Linked DNA regions of Stegostoma tigrinum. The protein of the gene in region 2 interacts with the protein of the main gene of each other region in a pairwise test. Links are inferred from orthologs where the notes say so. Each region holds a gene or a part of one and is shown on either strand. Other genes may lie near its edges.

The links. The genes of interacting proteins can lie anywhere in the genome.
Region 1: the proteins of KH domain-containing, RNA-binding, signal transduction-associated protein 2-like (region 2) and protein-tyrosine kinase 6-like interact in binary tests that used the Homo sapiens proteins (3 or more experiments, as listed by UniProt). The two-hybrid records come from large-scale screens. The link is inferred for Stegostoma tigrinum from reciprocal best matches to the Homo sapiens genes KHDRBS2 and PTK6.

Annotation. Positions count from the first base shown.
Region 1 is NC_081372.1:28,830,747-28,838,640, reverse strand, and holds the start of protein-tyrosine kinase 6-like, read right to left. Parts: upstream 3,065-7,894; 5' UTR 2,815-3,064; coding exon 2,453-2,814; intron 1-2,452. UniProt on the Homo sapiens protein: Non-receptor tyrosine-protein kinase implicated in the regulation of a variety of signaling pathways that control the differentiation and maintenance of normal epithelia, as well as tumor growth.
Region 2 is NC_081357.1:91,080,682-91,088,434, reverse strand, and holds the start of KH domain-containing, RNA-binding, signal transduction-associated protein 2-like, read right to left. Parts: upstream 3,133-7,753; 5' UTR 2,951-3,132; coding exon 2,860-2,950; intron 1-2,859. UniProt on the Homo sapiens protein: RNA-binding protein that plays a role in the regulation of alternative splicing and influences mRNA splice site selection and exon inclusion. Binds both poly(A) and poly(U) homopolymers. Phosphorylation by PTK6 inhibits its RNA-binding ability.

The DNA.
Region 1 (7,894 bases), on a different chromosome or scaffold from region 2:
TGGTCTTTGGAGCTCAAAGCTGCTTAAAGCTGCCCTCCAAGGCCTTCACTGAAAATTAGTGGGCTTTCACTCGGCACAATGCAACCATTGGGATAGCTCTGCAAAAGGCAACTTGGACAGATAAAAGCATGTAACAGACAGGCACAACACAGTGTACAACTTTTGGTTTTTGTGTGCAATTTAGAATACTTTTGATTTGTAAATTTTGTTTAGAATGTTTATATTGTGCTGGCTATTATTTTCATATTGTGATCAAGCAAACTTTGGGACGGTCAGTAACAGAGAGAGGGTAACAGCAGGTACTGTTGATAAAAGGATATTTGGGGTTTTGTTTGTGAATAAGCTGACCCTAGGCTGGCCAAAAAGAAACCTGTCTAGGCCACCTCCTCCCTTCTTCCTCCTCATCCTTCTCATCTTCTAATCAGGAGTGTATGTAAACTGCCAGTACCATGTTGAACTTCCAAGTATTGATGTTAAGGCCAAATTTCAAATGCAATATTTGGAATTCTGGTGTGGGCATGATTGAGCTCTGCTTATTTTCTGCCTCCTTCCAATTCTATTTATTTTCTAATGTCATTTTTAAAATGGATCCAACACATTCATCAAAACAAAGGGCAAACTGCACATGAACACATTCATCATTTGCTTGTAATATCATCAGCTCTTTTATTTGTTTATGGGCAAAAAACTGCATGAAGTGATGAAATTTCAAAATCACAGATATATATAGCACTAAAAAGGAACCAACAGACCCAATGGCCTACTCCTATTTCTTATGTTCCTCAAAAAGCCATCCAGCCCATCATACCTGTGTCATGAGGGGAATTATCCAGTCAATTCCCACTTTCAGCACTTAATCTATTGCCCAATAGGTTCAGTACATCCCTTCTAATCCTATCAATTATTTTAAATCAGTCTCCATAGTTGCTGACCTTTCCGCTAAGAGCAATAGGTACTCTCAAATAACTCATATTAAGCATGTCAGTTAAGTATGATTATTTATATTTAATAATATTATTAAACATGTCTGCTCTTTTCTTCCAAAGAATGCAACTCTAGTCTTTCTTCACAGCAAAAATTGTAATTCTTCTTTGTACTCTCTATACTGAAAGGCTGTGACCAGAATTCTACCATTAGTCTGCCAAAAGGGGAGGCAATGGCCCAGTGGTATTATTGCTGGACTATTAATCCAGCAACCCAGTTAAAATTCTGGGGACCTGGGTTCAAATCCTGCCATGGCAGATGGTGGAATTTGAATTCAATAAAATATCTGGAATTAGGAATCTGTTGAGGACCATGAATCAATTGTTGGTGGAACACATCCATCTGGTACACTAATGTCCTTTAGGGAAGGAAAGTGCCATCCTTACCTGTTCTGGCCTACACGTGACTCCAGATCCACAGTAATGTGATTGACTCTGAATTGCACTCTGGCTAATTAGGGGTGGACAATAAATACTGTCTCGCCAGTAACGTCCTCATAACTAATGTTTTATACAGACCTCGCATAACCTCTCTTATCTTATACTCTAGGCCTCATCAAGTAAATGAAAGTACCTTGCATTTATTTCAACAACATTTTCAATTCTTTATTCACAAGTGTGAATGTTGCTGAAAATGCCAGCACTTGCCTATCATCTCTAAATGCCTTGAAGCCAGTTGTAGTGAGCGACCTTCTTAAATTGTTGCATTCTATCTTGTGCAGGTTAAGGAAAGAGGAATTTGATCCAGAGACAGTGAAAGAATGACGATATAGTCCCTAGGTAGAATGTTGTGCGGCTTGGTGGGAACTTGCAGGTGTCTGACTTCCATGTGTCTGTTGGAAGGTACAGGTTTAGCAACTACTGTCAAAGGAGCCGAGGTAATTTGTTGCAATGCATCCTGTATATGGTATACATTGCTGCTAGTGTGTGTCAGTGATGGAGATAACGAATGATTAACTTGGTGGATGAGATACAGATTAAATCGAGCTGCTTTGTGATGTCAAACTCCTAACGTGTTGTTGGAGCTGCAGTGCTCCAGGTAAGTGGGGAGAATTCCACCACACTACATCTTATCCTACTTTATGCAGTGATCTGTGGACATAGTGGTCCCGCTGTACCTCTACACTTTAGTCTCAAGTCATTGTGCAACTCCTTACCATGGTTTTGTTTTCTTTCCAAGTGCATTACCTTATTCCTCCCAATGAAATTCCACATAGCGCTTATCGGAGTCCTTACCCCTCCACTGACAGCTGCAATCTCCGGCTTTCTGCCTCACTATTCGCCAAGCTGCCCATCTCACTGACACCTTTAAGGTCATAAACCCCAAATAAACTGCCTCTCTCAAACGAATTCAGCAATTAGAAAATTCTGAATCGAACAGCCACCAGCATCACTTGTCAGTCTTGAAGTACAATTCGCAAATCGATTTACAGACATAAATGCTGTGAAAACTATTTGAAAGCACTTACGGCTCAGTGGCTACACTTTCTTTCTTAGCAACATAATTAAAAGGAATATATCCCGTGCAGCTATGGCCCTTGGAATGAGTTCGTTTCTTTGCAAACAACCAAGCTCCCGATGAACGGTCGTCCTCCTTAAGGATTTCAAACTCATCCCCGGCTTGGAAAGACAGTTCCTCAGTTGTCCTGGCGCTAAAGTCATACAGCGCCGTGTAAACGCTGCCCCCGCTCTCCTTCGGCGTAGATACCAGAGAACTCCGACGCTGTGGTAAATTCTTCTCTCCGTCACCCTCAGGGCTTTGTCTAGAAGCGAAGATTACATTCCACATGGAATTTAAACAGGGACAGATCCTTTGTAAGGTTTCGGCCATGGAGGTGAACACTACTCAGATTCTCTCCCTGCTGCCCTCTCCACCTCCAGGGACGATGGTGAGGTCCTGCTTGTTACATTTTCGAAAATGCAAGCTTCCATCTCACTTCCTCGTTACTTACATTGATGTAATCAGAGAGTGTTCTAAGAGAAGGCAATGCTATTTAAACCACGCCTTGGGCTGTGTCCATACTTTGTGCGGAACGAAAATGCCAAGAATATTTTACCAGTTGGAGCCTAAATCCAACGAGCGTGAAGACAAGATGGAATGAAGAAGGCGAGTTGTCTATGTTGGGGAAATTTGAAAAGCGGCAGCCACTGTAATAATTGTTAGCATCCTTAGGTTAATCCATCGGCACTGCAGAGGAACAACACCTCAACACTCTGGCCCCAACACCACATCATCCCAGCACCCAACAAGTGGCAGCTAGTCCCACATCACTGTTTGTACCAGAACTCCTCCTCACGCTGCACTACAGCTTCAACTTAGCTGTGGTTCTCTTGGTAACAACCTCACCTTTAAGTCACGAGGTTAAAGGGTTGAGCCCCACTCCAGAACGTAAGCATTAATGATCAAGGTTTTGTGGTGTAGTAGTAGCATCCCTGTGTCTGGCCTGGAAGGTCTGGGTCAACTCTCCCCTCTGGATGTGATAGCATGGATGTGTGTCATACCATGCCCAAACAGGTTCATTAGAAAAAAAGTCAAGGCTTCTACTTGGTTGGCGGTGGGGCCCCACCCCCGGTGGCAGTGTGCGGTTGGGGTGGGGTGGAGAAAGATTTGTACGGGATGAGGCAGATCACAGAGTGCGGCCCACCCCATACCCCACGCTTCTCTAAACACCAGTTTTTGAGTCTGCAAGTTCCAATTCATTGTGTTTACCATTCACCAGTGTAAATTGTTTAACCCCCTTTTATTTCTTATGCTCTTTTTTTAACAAACACAAAACTGACCAATCATGATCAATGCCAAGAATTTTGTGTTTACCATAAAAGGCGTTCCATACTGCTCCAGATTTCGATAATTATATTGCAATCCTCTTGGAATTATAGGCTGGAATTCCTTGACGCATCTTTGCATTGAAGAAGCCTTACTGCTTTCTAACCAAACTGGAAATGTATCACTCTCACCTATCACTCCAGCTACCTATGATACTGGTGCAGGCTCCCCCAAAGTGTAGTGTCCTGGGCAGTTGTCCTGATTCACCTGACCATAGGGATGGTTCTGCTGCTACTGCTCAGTACTCCAGCAAAGTACCGAGGGTGTGCTGCACCATCAGAGGGGCTGTCTTTATGATAAGGTATTAAAGCAAGCTGAGTTCTGACGAAGGGTCACCTGGCCTGAAATGATAACTCTGTTTTCTCTTCCACAGAAGCTACCAGACCTGCTGAGCTTTTCCAGCAAGGCTACAGCCCACATTCAAGCCTTCCCAATTTGGCCCCAACTGCAACAATATCTACATTCAGAACATTGAGACCCTTCAGAAGCGTTTCTCCCTGCGACTCCTGAAACAAGCATTTCTGAGGAAGGGCCTAGGCCTGAAATGTCAGCTTTCCTGATCCTAAGATGCTGCCTGGCCTGCTGTGTTCATCCAGCTCTACACCCTGTTATCTCGGATTCTCCAGCATCTGCAGTTCCTTCTATCTCTGAGCTTTTACAGCAACTTTGTTTCTGTGCCATCTGCCTGCTTTGGTAGATGTAAAAGATCTCATGGCAGGAAGTTACCTCTGATATCTCCAGATTATCCAGTCATTATCACATTGCTGTTTGAGGGATCTTGCTGTGAAGTAAATTGCATTTCTATAGTGACTACACTGAAAGTACTTCATTAGCTGTAAAGCATTTTGAGGCATCCAGTGGTGGTGAAAAGTGCTACACAAATGTAAAACTTTCTTTTTAGTTTTTTTTACCTGAAAGTGCCAACTCAACAAGCCTATTCCAATATCATTCCTTTCTTTTAAAAAAAAATGGCCTGTGCCTTAGCAGCGGTCGTGTTCCATGTCTTATTTTGGTGCATCCTTCTCATGAAAGTTGCTGTGGCTGACACCTCTGAATAGGGACTTGATCATTTCGAAATGAGGTGAGAGATTTCTTCATTCAAAGGATTGTGAATCTTTGGAATTCTTTCACCTCAAATGGATGTGAATGCTTCAACATTTATCTTTTCCAACCTTGAATATATTCAGAGACTTCATCTCTCAGTAAATCAAATGAGTTGGCAGGTGGACGGGAATAGTGAAGTTAAGGTAAAAATTGATTGTATTGAATGAGGAATTAGGCTTGACGAGCAGTATTCTGAAGAAGTCATACTGGACTTGAAGCATTAACTTTGTTTCTCTCTCCACAGATGCTGCCACACCTACTGAGTTCATCCAGCATTTTGTATGTTTGCTTCTGGAGTAATGTGGTCTACATCTGTTTCTATAAAATAGTAATATTGTGTGGCACTGGGGCATACTGTGGGTGGGAGAAAGGATGAGGGGGAGCAATAGGCAGTTGCTCAAGTTCGTAATGATCAAATGCCACAGAACTTCATGGAAAATGACATATGAAGGGATGCTGGTTGGCTAAAAGATGTGAACCTATGTCAGGCTTGACTAGCCTGTGGGAAAGCTATTGCTAGTTTTGGACAATGTCCCAGATGTTAGCTAGAAAAGCTTTACAAGTTTGACTGGGTGTGGCTTTATTGTTTCATTCTGTGCCTAGGCTAATGCTAAATTACTGTTCGAGTTCTGTCTCTTCAGAGGACAGTCATGGATCTAGAGTTACATGTAAGCCAGACCAATTAATGAATTTAATAGCAATTATTCAACAGTATGTCACTTGCAAGGCACACACTGCGTACTGAGGTCTTGTAGAAGAAGAGGCAGATATTTCTAGAAGAACATTAGTGAATCAGTTTTATTTTCACATGACTTGAAATGATGATCAGAAGTGTGAGAACTGTGTCTTTTGTTTCTGTGTCCTTAAAAATGTGGGATGCAAGGAGAAAGAACAATTTTTAAAATCAAGGATTTACCAGAACGCCTCCAAATTTTTTTGTGGAAAGGAATTCATTGTCTATTGCAAACTCTGTCTTTGTGACTTGTGTCCTTACAATTGCAGGCAATCAGGAACTGAGGAGTTATTTAAAAGTGAAACTGATTGGTTCTCATCTAAATGAACAGATTGCAAATGGAAACAAGTTAACAGAGGTGTGGACCAGTTGCTTTGCATTTGATGCCAACCTCTATAGATAAAGGAAGCAGGTATTTACTGCCCATTTAGTGCACCTTGAGGTGTTGGGGACTGCTGGTCAAGATGGAGGTCTGGAAGGGCAAGTGATAAGTTAGAGCCTAGTCAGGTGCCTGCTCTGACTCTCATGTTGGGGATTGTCATTGTCTGGTTTCTCTCCACAGGCTGGGGAAATTGCAAACGACATACGTGACATGAAATAAGGTAATAATGAGATGTCAACATATCCAGTTAGGCCATAATATATGCTAAATTTCAATGTTCAAACAAATTTCTTATCTCTCAATTAGGAACTTGGCTGGAAAATTGGACTTCAGTTGTCATTGTCCAGAATTTCACTTTTCTGTACCCACCTTATTTTACTAACTGATGTGCTATTACAGGTGTCATTTAGCACCTAGAGAGATTGAACCCAATCATTTTTGGTCCCACAGCAAATGTTATGATATTAAATGAAAAACAAATCACAAAGTGTCTGCGACAGACTATAACTGCAAAGAGGTTTTCAATTACATTTTTATTCTCAGTTCAATCAGAAGCAGAATATAATGATAAATTAAACAAAAGTCACAAAGAATCACACTTATGGGAACATGTCTTGAATAAAGATATCTATTGGCAACAACTATGGACTTGTAATACTTGAAAAATTATCTTCCTTGTTCAGAAATTTACAATTGAGCAGTCTGAAAATTTTCAAATATCAAAAACAGAAAGTGGTGGAAAAACTCAGCAGGTCTTGCAGCATCTGTGGACAGGGAAACAGAACTAATACCTCATATTTAATGTGACTCTTCTTCAGAACTGTTCAGAATTTAAGCCTGCACTCTTCTGCAAGCAGTGAAAGGTAATTCTGTCTGCTATTTTAACCGAAACATAGGCCTCAATTTATAGGCAACCATGCATTTGGAGTAATCTCAAAGAGCAGCTGCCAATCAGTTTGGGCATGAATCCACCATTTTGTGGGAATGAGCGGCAGGAGGAGGGGATGGAGAGAGAAATATAAAAAAAAGGTGGGAGGGGTTAGCACTGCTGTGTCACAGTCTCAGGGACCCGGGTTGAATTCAAGCCTCAGGCCACTGCCTGCGTGGAGTTTGCACATTCTCCTTGTGTGCGCGTGGATTTCTTCTGGGAGCTCTGATTTCCTCCCACAGTCTGAAGATGTGCAAGTAAAGTGGATTGGCCATACTAAGTTGCCCATAGTATCCAGGGATGTTTAGACTAGGTGCAATGAGCATTGTGGATTTGATGGGCTGAATGGCCTGCTCCCGCACTGTTGGGATTTTTTTTTGGATTCTGTTCTATGTTATGGAAGAGGAAACCCATGTATTACATTTTTGGTTGGCAATGCCTACAGCACGAGGACACATCCTAGCAGAGAACCAGCAGGGAGGCAGAATGACTTTGCAATTGGTGGGAGAGACTGTATGGAGCAAAATGACAATCAAGTAGAGCAGAAAGATGGCAGTCAGAGGAGGAGTGAGATAGTAGTCAAAGCAAGTCAGTGATTATGGAGGTGGAAGCAGGTGAACCTAATGGGAGTGGTGAGGGGTTTGGAGGTTGACGTTGGAATAAATGCTTCTGCTCTGCCTGGCCCTCAAGCAGCACTGTAGGTTTTTGGTTCCAGCCCTGTTTATCTCCTGTTGACTCTCAGGTTTCATGAGGCCCAGGAACTGACAGCAGTGAAAAATGAAAAGCTTGTTAAAATGGAGTGATGCCTTATCATTAAAATCTGATAGCAACCTTTTGGCTTAATGAGAGCAGATTGGCCATAAATGTTCCACCAACCACTCACACTCTGTCTCTTAAAACAGACAGGTGAGTTTGAAATTTAAAAAATTACAACTTC
Region 2 (7,753 bases):
TGTCTCAGAAGAATTAGCTTTGGATTACTAGTCCAGTGACACTATCACTATCCAAATATATCTCATTCTCCTCATTTACTCTACGTTGAAATAAATTCCACAATCACAGCATTGTCTGGATAAATTGGTTTCTCTTGAATTTTCTAGCTGATTTATTGGTTATATCTTATAGCCATTTGTTTCAAACGCCTCCACAAGTGGAAATACCTTTGTTACATGGATGTTTTTTTAAAAATCTTCTTTGAGTCCTTTGTCCACCTCAGCAACATGACTTCCACCCTGGGTAAGGCAAGGAACCAGATCCTGAACCTCTCCCAGCTGAATCCTGTTTATTAGCGTCAAACTAATCACAGTGGCCATCCAGCCAACTGGTGATTATCTAATTCAATTCTGAAAGCCAAGTCTGAATCTGCCAGCATTGGCACGCTCAGGCAATGTATTCCAAAATCATAAGTCAATTCTGGCCATGCTTTTATAGGAGGAAAGATGTTGTTAAACTTGCAGGTGCAGAAAATATTTACATAAATGTTGCCAGAACTGGAGAGTTTGAGTTATAGGTAAAGGCTGAATAGACTGGGGTTTCTTTCCCTGCAATGTCAGAGGCTGAGCAGTGACCTTATAGAGGTTTATAAAATCATCGATAGGGTAAATAGCCAAGATCTGTTTCCTAGGACGGGGTGTCCAAAACTAGGCTTAATGTGAGAGGGGACTGCATCGTAATGTAGGGAATGAGCTGTCAGAGGAAACGGTAGAGGTGGGTATAAAACAACACTTAAAAGGCTTCTGGATGGGTGTATGAATAGGAAGGGTTTAAGAGAGATGGGGTCAAATGCTGGCAAATGGGACTAGATCAGATTAGGATGTCTGTTCAGCGTGGACGAGTTGGACTAAAATATGTTTCCATGCTGTATGATTCTGACTGTGACTCTAGATCACTCTCTGCAAGGTAGATCTTTCCCATGCACTGCTGCTTCATTTAATCAATTATTTTAAATTGGTGCCCTCTCATTCTCAATCCTTCCATCAATGGAATCAAAAGTGGTGAAGAGATTTTGTAACGAATCAAATATTTCTGTTGCATTTAATTATGAAACTTGACTCTTGCAACCTGTGAATCCTCAACATCAGGCCTTGTATAGGTTTCTTAACTGCAGAGTGACAGAGCCCACCAGAAAGCAGAGCTTGTTTAAACCAACTGCCAATGTGTGAAATGCAGTACTCCTGAGGTATTCATAAGACAAAAGATATATATTTGACAAATACATTCATTTTAATATTGTTGAAAACAGACAAGTGGCCAGCACAGAACTACATGATACAAAACCAGCTTAATAACCATCCCCAATAAATGTAAGGTTTTACTTCTTATATCATCCTCAAGAATTTCTTTTTACCATCTTCCCAGTTACCTCTGTGCCTTTTTCTGAACAGCTAACTGATAACAAGAGCTACAGATTTGCTAATCACATAGATTGCCAGGTATCAACTCCATTCTGCAATCCCATCCCCACACCTGTCATAGTTGCAAAAGGTCAGTCCTATCCTTTAATAGCTGGCAGTGGTTAGTTCCAGGAATTATTCAACAAGACTTTGGGTAGGCGAAAAGAGGGAAAAATGCCACTTCCTTGCAATTTCTCTTGCAACGGAGAAGCTATCTGTCTCAAAACATGAATTAAGCTTCAACAGGCACACCACTGAAGGACATGGATTATTTTGGTAGGGAGAATTGAAGGTTGGGGAGGATGGAGGGGTGCCTTTGATCTCCAAACTTGAACTGTCTGCCTGGTTTGCACGTTGCTCTGCTGCCCTCTGTAGCTCAGAGCCAGCACCCAATTTGAAGCTTCCAAACGGCACTGGGAAGCTTGGGCTGGTTTCATAAATTTTTAAGACACATTGAATAATTGAGCACATTAAAAAAGAAAACCATCATCATCAGAAGTTGCAATGTAATGACAGCAAACAAAACTCAAAATCTTCTCTCACACATTATCAAGATTTTCAATCTTTAAGCTACAAAATAGATAATCGTTCTTCATTTATGGATTAGATTTTGAATCCTTAGCATTGAGCTTTGCTTCTGCTGATCTATACATGTAGACACATTCACTCAAAGACAAACACAGTAACACATTCAGAGACGTACAGGCACAGACAACATATTTTCAAAAACAGGTACACATAGATGCACATACACTCACAGATACACAAAATACAGGTATGCACAGAGGCGCATGTGCTCAGGCATACAGGTATGCACAGAGGCGCATGTGCTCAGATACATGCTCAGGCACACAGACACACACTTATCAGAAGATATATACCGAAGCTGACACAGCTACTGTATAAATTTAAAGACATATTATCACAGACATACAGATAAGCAAATATTTAGGCACACTTCCTGACACACACACACACACACACACACACACACACACACACACACACACACACACACAAGTAAGCACACATTCCCAGACACATACCGATATTTGAATACCAAACACTGCTCATTGTTGACTCTCACAAATATATCTAAGCACGCAAAGAGTTCACAGCTGTTAGCAATACCGGAGCCAGGACGCAGCTCACTTAAACCTGCAGCAACACCTGTTAGTCACAACTGAGGATTTGTGTAAAAGGACGATTTATGTAGCAGCACCCTAGACACACACAGGAGTATCACTCCATCACTACACGCACACGTTTCTAGGTCACTCGGAGGGAGGCTGCTGGTTTTTTTTAGGGGAAGGAGTAGTAATTTTGCAGATCAAAATACAAAGATGTGGATCGTTAAAACATCCGTCAGTGGAACAAGTAACGTGCACAACACGTTCAATTGTCGGTTGCACAACTTACCTTCAGTCAGCAGACGCGCAGCATGAACAAAAGATGGGTCCAGAGTATCTTTCTCTGCCATCAGCTCTGGCAAATATTTCTCTCTCTGCATTTTGCTCTCGTTTTAAACAAAAAACCCAAAATATATCGAAACAGAATTACAATATGTAATTCAAATAATATTTATTACTTTGCTTAAATATAAAGTCCAGAGCTAGTACTGTAGCAGTCAGTGAGGCTTATCTGTCAGTTTACCCGAAAGAGTACACTCACTCGGCCGCACTGACAGCGTTTACCGACTCCAGCAGCGTCCCTATACAGCGCCCGCCCCCACAGCCCACCTATTGGACAGAGCTCCGGACACCCGGAAGAGGCGCCGGATGGTTATTGGCTAACACCGACTATCGATCAACGTGAGTGACAGCTTGCCCATCTTTTGTCCCGTTCGCATCTCCACAATTCCTGCCTCTTTGCCTACGCCTATTTTTATACACGCAGAAACATGTAATTATGATTTTCCATTCCACAACAACTAAGAGAGCCCTTGTGCAAAGCCCTGCCACTGCTTAGTCCCCATGCTCTGCCGCATGGCTGCCGTCAAAACAACTGCCAAAGTTGTTTTTCTTTGCATGTGAGAAAGGATCTTGCTGGAATGGGTCAAAAGTTGGTGCATAACTGACATGCCTGAAAAATGCTGATCAACGCATTAAGCTGGAAGTGACATATCTATCTCTGCCTCTCAGAAGCTGACTGATTATTAACGTAACAAGGCTGAACTCCACATTCTACACACTGCATATACATGGATACTAACATCAACGTTGGCTTTACCTACCAAAACACAAACGTATATATACTTACGACAAATTTACGTCTATCTTGGATTACAACATTCCACTAAATATGGAATAGAATAGTGTAGGTTAGATGGGCTTGAGATCCATATGACAGGTCGACACAACATCGAGGGTCGAAGGGCTTGTACTGTGCTGTAATGTTCTATGTTCTAAAGCTTTATCTTATGAGTTGAGTGCATGCCCTAATGCATTGTAACTCTGTCAACAGTAGAAAAAAAATGAATATTTTAATATAACTCGCCCAATCCCATTTGCACAAATTGATTGGGGAAAGGTGAGCAGGCACTTTTTGATGAGTTTAAGAGAAAGGCGTAGACATAATGCTGCCTTCAAGCAAGCTATCCTCTTCCTCGATGGAGATATGGCCTATTTTGGGAAAAGGTGGGGGAACATGTATCTACTTCAAAAGAAGTTCCAAATGGGAAATAAATGTTCATTTTCTAGCAAGTCCTAATGACAAAGTTCATGCTACAGCTTAGGAAACAGCAGTGGCCTTGCTCCAAGTCAAATTGTCAAAGAAAGATTTCTGCATCATCCTTTTTGTCTAGACTATCGTATTTTCAGTTGGTGTTGAAAATGCGTGAATAGCAGTTCCTGCACTATCAAAGCATAGGCGCAAAGTACGGAGTGATGAGATTTATTCTAAATACGAGTTGTTTATGATCGGATATAGTAAGAACTGCTGATGCTGGAGTCAGAGATAACAGTGTGGAGCTGGAGGAACACAGCAGGTCAGACAGAATCAGTGGAGCAAGGAAGCTGACGTTTCGGGTTTTCCGTTGCTGTCTGGCCTGCTGAGTTCCTCCAGTTCCACACTGTTGTCTTGTTTATGATTGGAAGTACGCTACTGGAAATGGTGGCGCAAGCAGACTCAATAGGAACTTTCTAAAGATAATTGAATGAGTGGGTGCTTTGAAAAACTGCAAGAGGTGGAGATAACTGAATAACTTTTTCAGAGAATCAGCAGAGGCACGATGGGCTAAATGATCTGTTTTGTGATGACCATTTGATTGAAGGTAACTCAGGGCAGACACAAAAGATCAATACTACGGCAGAATGGGAGTTACAGTTCCATCTTGACCTGAATTCAGGTGCTGGGAGTATTACTTTTTCCTTATTTTTTCATCATGTGTGGGCATTGCTGGCAGGGCCTGTATTTGTTGACGATTGCACTTTAACTGAGTGGCTCAATAATTAAGGGCTGAAGGCATTGCTGTGAATTTGGAGTCAGATGTCAACCAGACCTGGTAAGAATTGTAGATTCCCTTCCCTAAAAAGACATTACTGAACGAAATGTTATTGTAACAATTGATGATACGGTACAATGGCAACAAGTCAAATTACAACAGGTCTGGCCACAAATTTGTGTTAAATAGAGATTAAAGTTAGCCGAAAAAGGCCCTATATAACCCCATAAAAACCGAAAGTATTGTGGATGCTGTAAATCAGAAACAGAAATAGACATTGCTGGTGAGCTCAGCAGGTTTGGCAGCATGTGTGAAGAGAACTCAGAGTTAACGTTTCAAGTCTGGTGACCCTTCTGAGAACTGTGGGGCAAGGGTCCACCGGACCTGAAACGTTACCTCTAAATTCTCATCACAGATACAGCCAGACCTGCTGAGCTTTTCCAGCAATCTCTACCTTTATTCATTTAAAATCCCAATCGCCCCCAAATATACCGTATGTAAGAAAGAAAAGAAACGGTAAGTGAAAAATGCCTTTATTTTTCAAGTTGTTCATACCTTACAATGGCCTGTCCTTGTGCTGTAAGAGACATTGAAAAACGATGGGAGTTAGCTGTGGAAATCTGAGTAATATCTTTCTACTTAGCAGGCTGTCTTCAGAGAGGATCAATGAAGTCAAACGTGTTTTTTGTGTTTCAGTGAAGTAGTGAAAAATCCTGGAGCATCTGTATAACACCTGTGATAGAAACTGGCTTGTGCATACTTTTAACATCATTTATTTCAGTGTGAGTTTCAATTTTAAGTTACATGTAGGTTTTCCACGCGCCTGAAGTAAATAATTAACTTGTGGTATTTCTTTAAACATGGCAATTTATTTAAAAAGTATTTGTGAAGGCAACTGCAGCAGTCCATGGGGGCTGTGTCTATTTTACAGATTTTCTGACCTAGCAAAATAAACAATCATATCTCAAGGATTTTGTTGGAAATTTCTACATTGGGAGTATTGTTTTAAAAATACCCATAGTAGTGGGAGAAGATTTGTTCCCGTTTAACTTTTTTTCTGACATTTCTGTGAAGTTCTTGCATAGAGATGCATGCATAGTACTCCTGAAAAGGGAGAATATCATGAACTAGATTACCTCAGAATAAGGAGTTAGTGATTGTCTCAGACCAGTAGTGTTGCACTAAAACCCCAGAGGACTTGAATCTGAGTTTGTTTAACTCAAGTGCATGATAGGTCCATGAACAAGCTAACAGTCCTTTCATTCTCAAAGGTAAAGTCAGAGTTGTCTTAGATCTAGTGAGGTGTTAGAGAGAGTGATTCTGGTATGAGTACTGTACAGGGAATCATGTTAGTTGCTGTACAAGGGATTTTTTTAAACTCGTAAGGGAACATTTAGACTTAAACTTTTATTGTGTTTGAAACTCTTTTAATTTGTTTTAAGTAAATCAGTTAGTTTGAACTATATTATCTTAAATTCTGTTGCTTAATAAATTTGTTTTTATGTTAAAATAAAATCTGCAACTTTGTGTGTTCTAGTCTTAATGAGAGACCATCTAGTTAAAATTAAATCAAAACAAAACAATGATCAATCAAGCCAGATTTCAGCTTTATTTCAGTAATAAGATCAGCTGATACCTTAAAACATCCTTGTGATTTCAGCTTGGAAAACAGGTGGATGAATTGGTCAACAGGGTGATAGTTTGCTGTTATATTTTGTGATTTCCTGGCCTCTAACATACTGGAGGTCATCTAATTAGCCTCATATTGTGTGGGTAGCAGCTTGACATTTGCAAAGCAATGTGGCTTTTCCATCTTTCCAATCACAAGAAGCAGTAGATTTTCAGTGCCACTCACATTGGTGAAGACCGTAGTATGTTTAGTTTCCTTCTAGTAAATGCTTCCTCTTTGAGCAGTATAGTGCAATCTGATAAAACACAGTAAAACAGTCTAGTTTCAGCCATGTTAAAAATGTCTTGTAGTGCATCCTTGTTCAGGACAAGGGTGAGATCACTTTGTGACCATTGCTGCAGATTTGTCTGTGATTTTGTGCTCCAGCGTGGCCTCACTCCATCACAGTGAGTTGGCGTGGTGATCTGGAACTTGGATTATCACAGACATTTTTCCATTAGATTTCCTATTTAGTCAGTGGGAACGGATGACAAATTGACTGTGACCAGAGTTTCAGGTGATATGAATTTGACTCATGACGATTTCACTGCAGTCTTCTGACCAGTATCACTGAGCCCGGTTTTATATTCCAACATGTTTATTGATGGAACATAAATTTTACTAGCTAAAATGCTGATGGTGGGATTTGATCTCTTGTACCCTGATCTCGTTTGGGTTAGCTAGTCCAGTGATATTACCACCACACTACCAATCCCCCAAAGTCTAACTGCGCAAAAGCCTAACTCATTTGAAATTTTCAATCCTTATAGCACCCTCAAGGTTAGTAAGTCATGCTAAATCTCTAACTAGTTTTGTTCACCAAAACTTACCAGTGCTCTTTTTATGGTGGTGCCTTGTGGATCTAAATCACAATAGTCGAGTGTTTCTTGATCTGGTGAAATTGTCAGTGAGGCCTGATTGAGGTTGAACTAAAAGGGAGAAAAATACAAGCCTGATGATTTAATTATGAATGAAGGAAGACCTTTGGTTAACATGTTTTTCATCAATATAGAAGTGGAGATGCTTTCCCTGCCTGGTTGACGTTTTGAGAACGCATTATCTGAACTCAGCAGTGGGAAACCACTCTAGACCTGTCAATAATGCAGTCAATGCTGACAGAAACCAAATGGGAAACCTGTAATCATGAAGAGTCTCATTTAAAAATGGAAAATTTCACAACGTCAGTGTCGGATTTTAAAAGG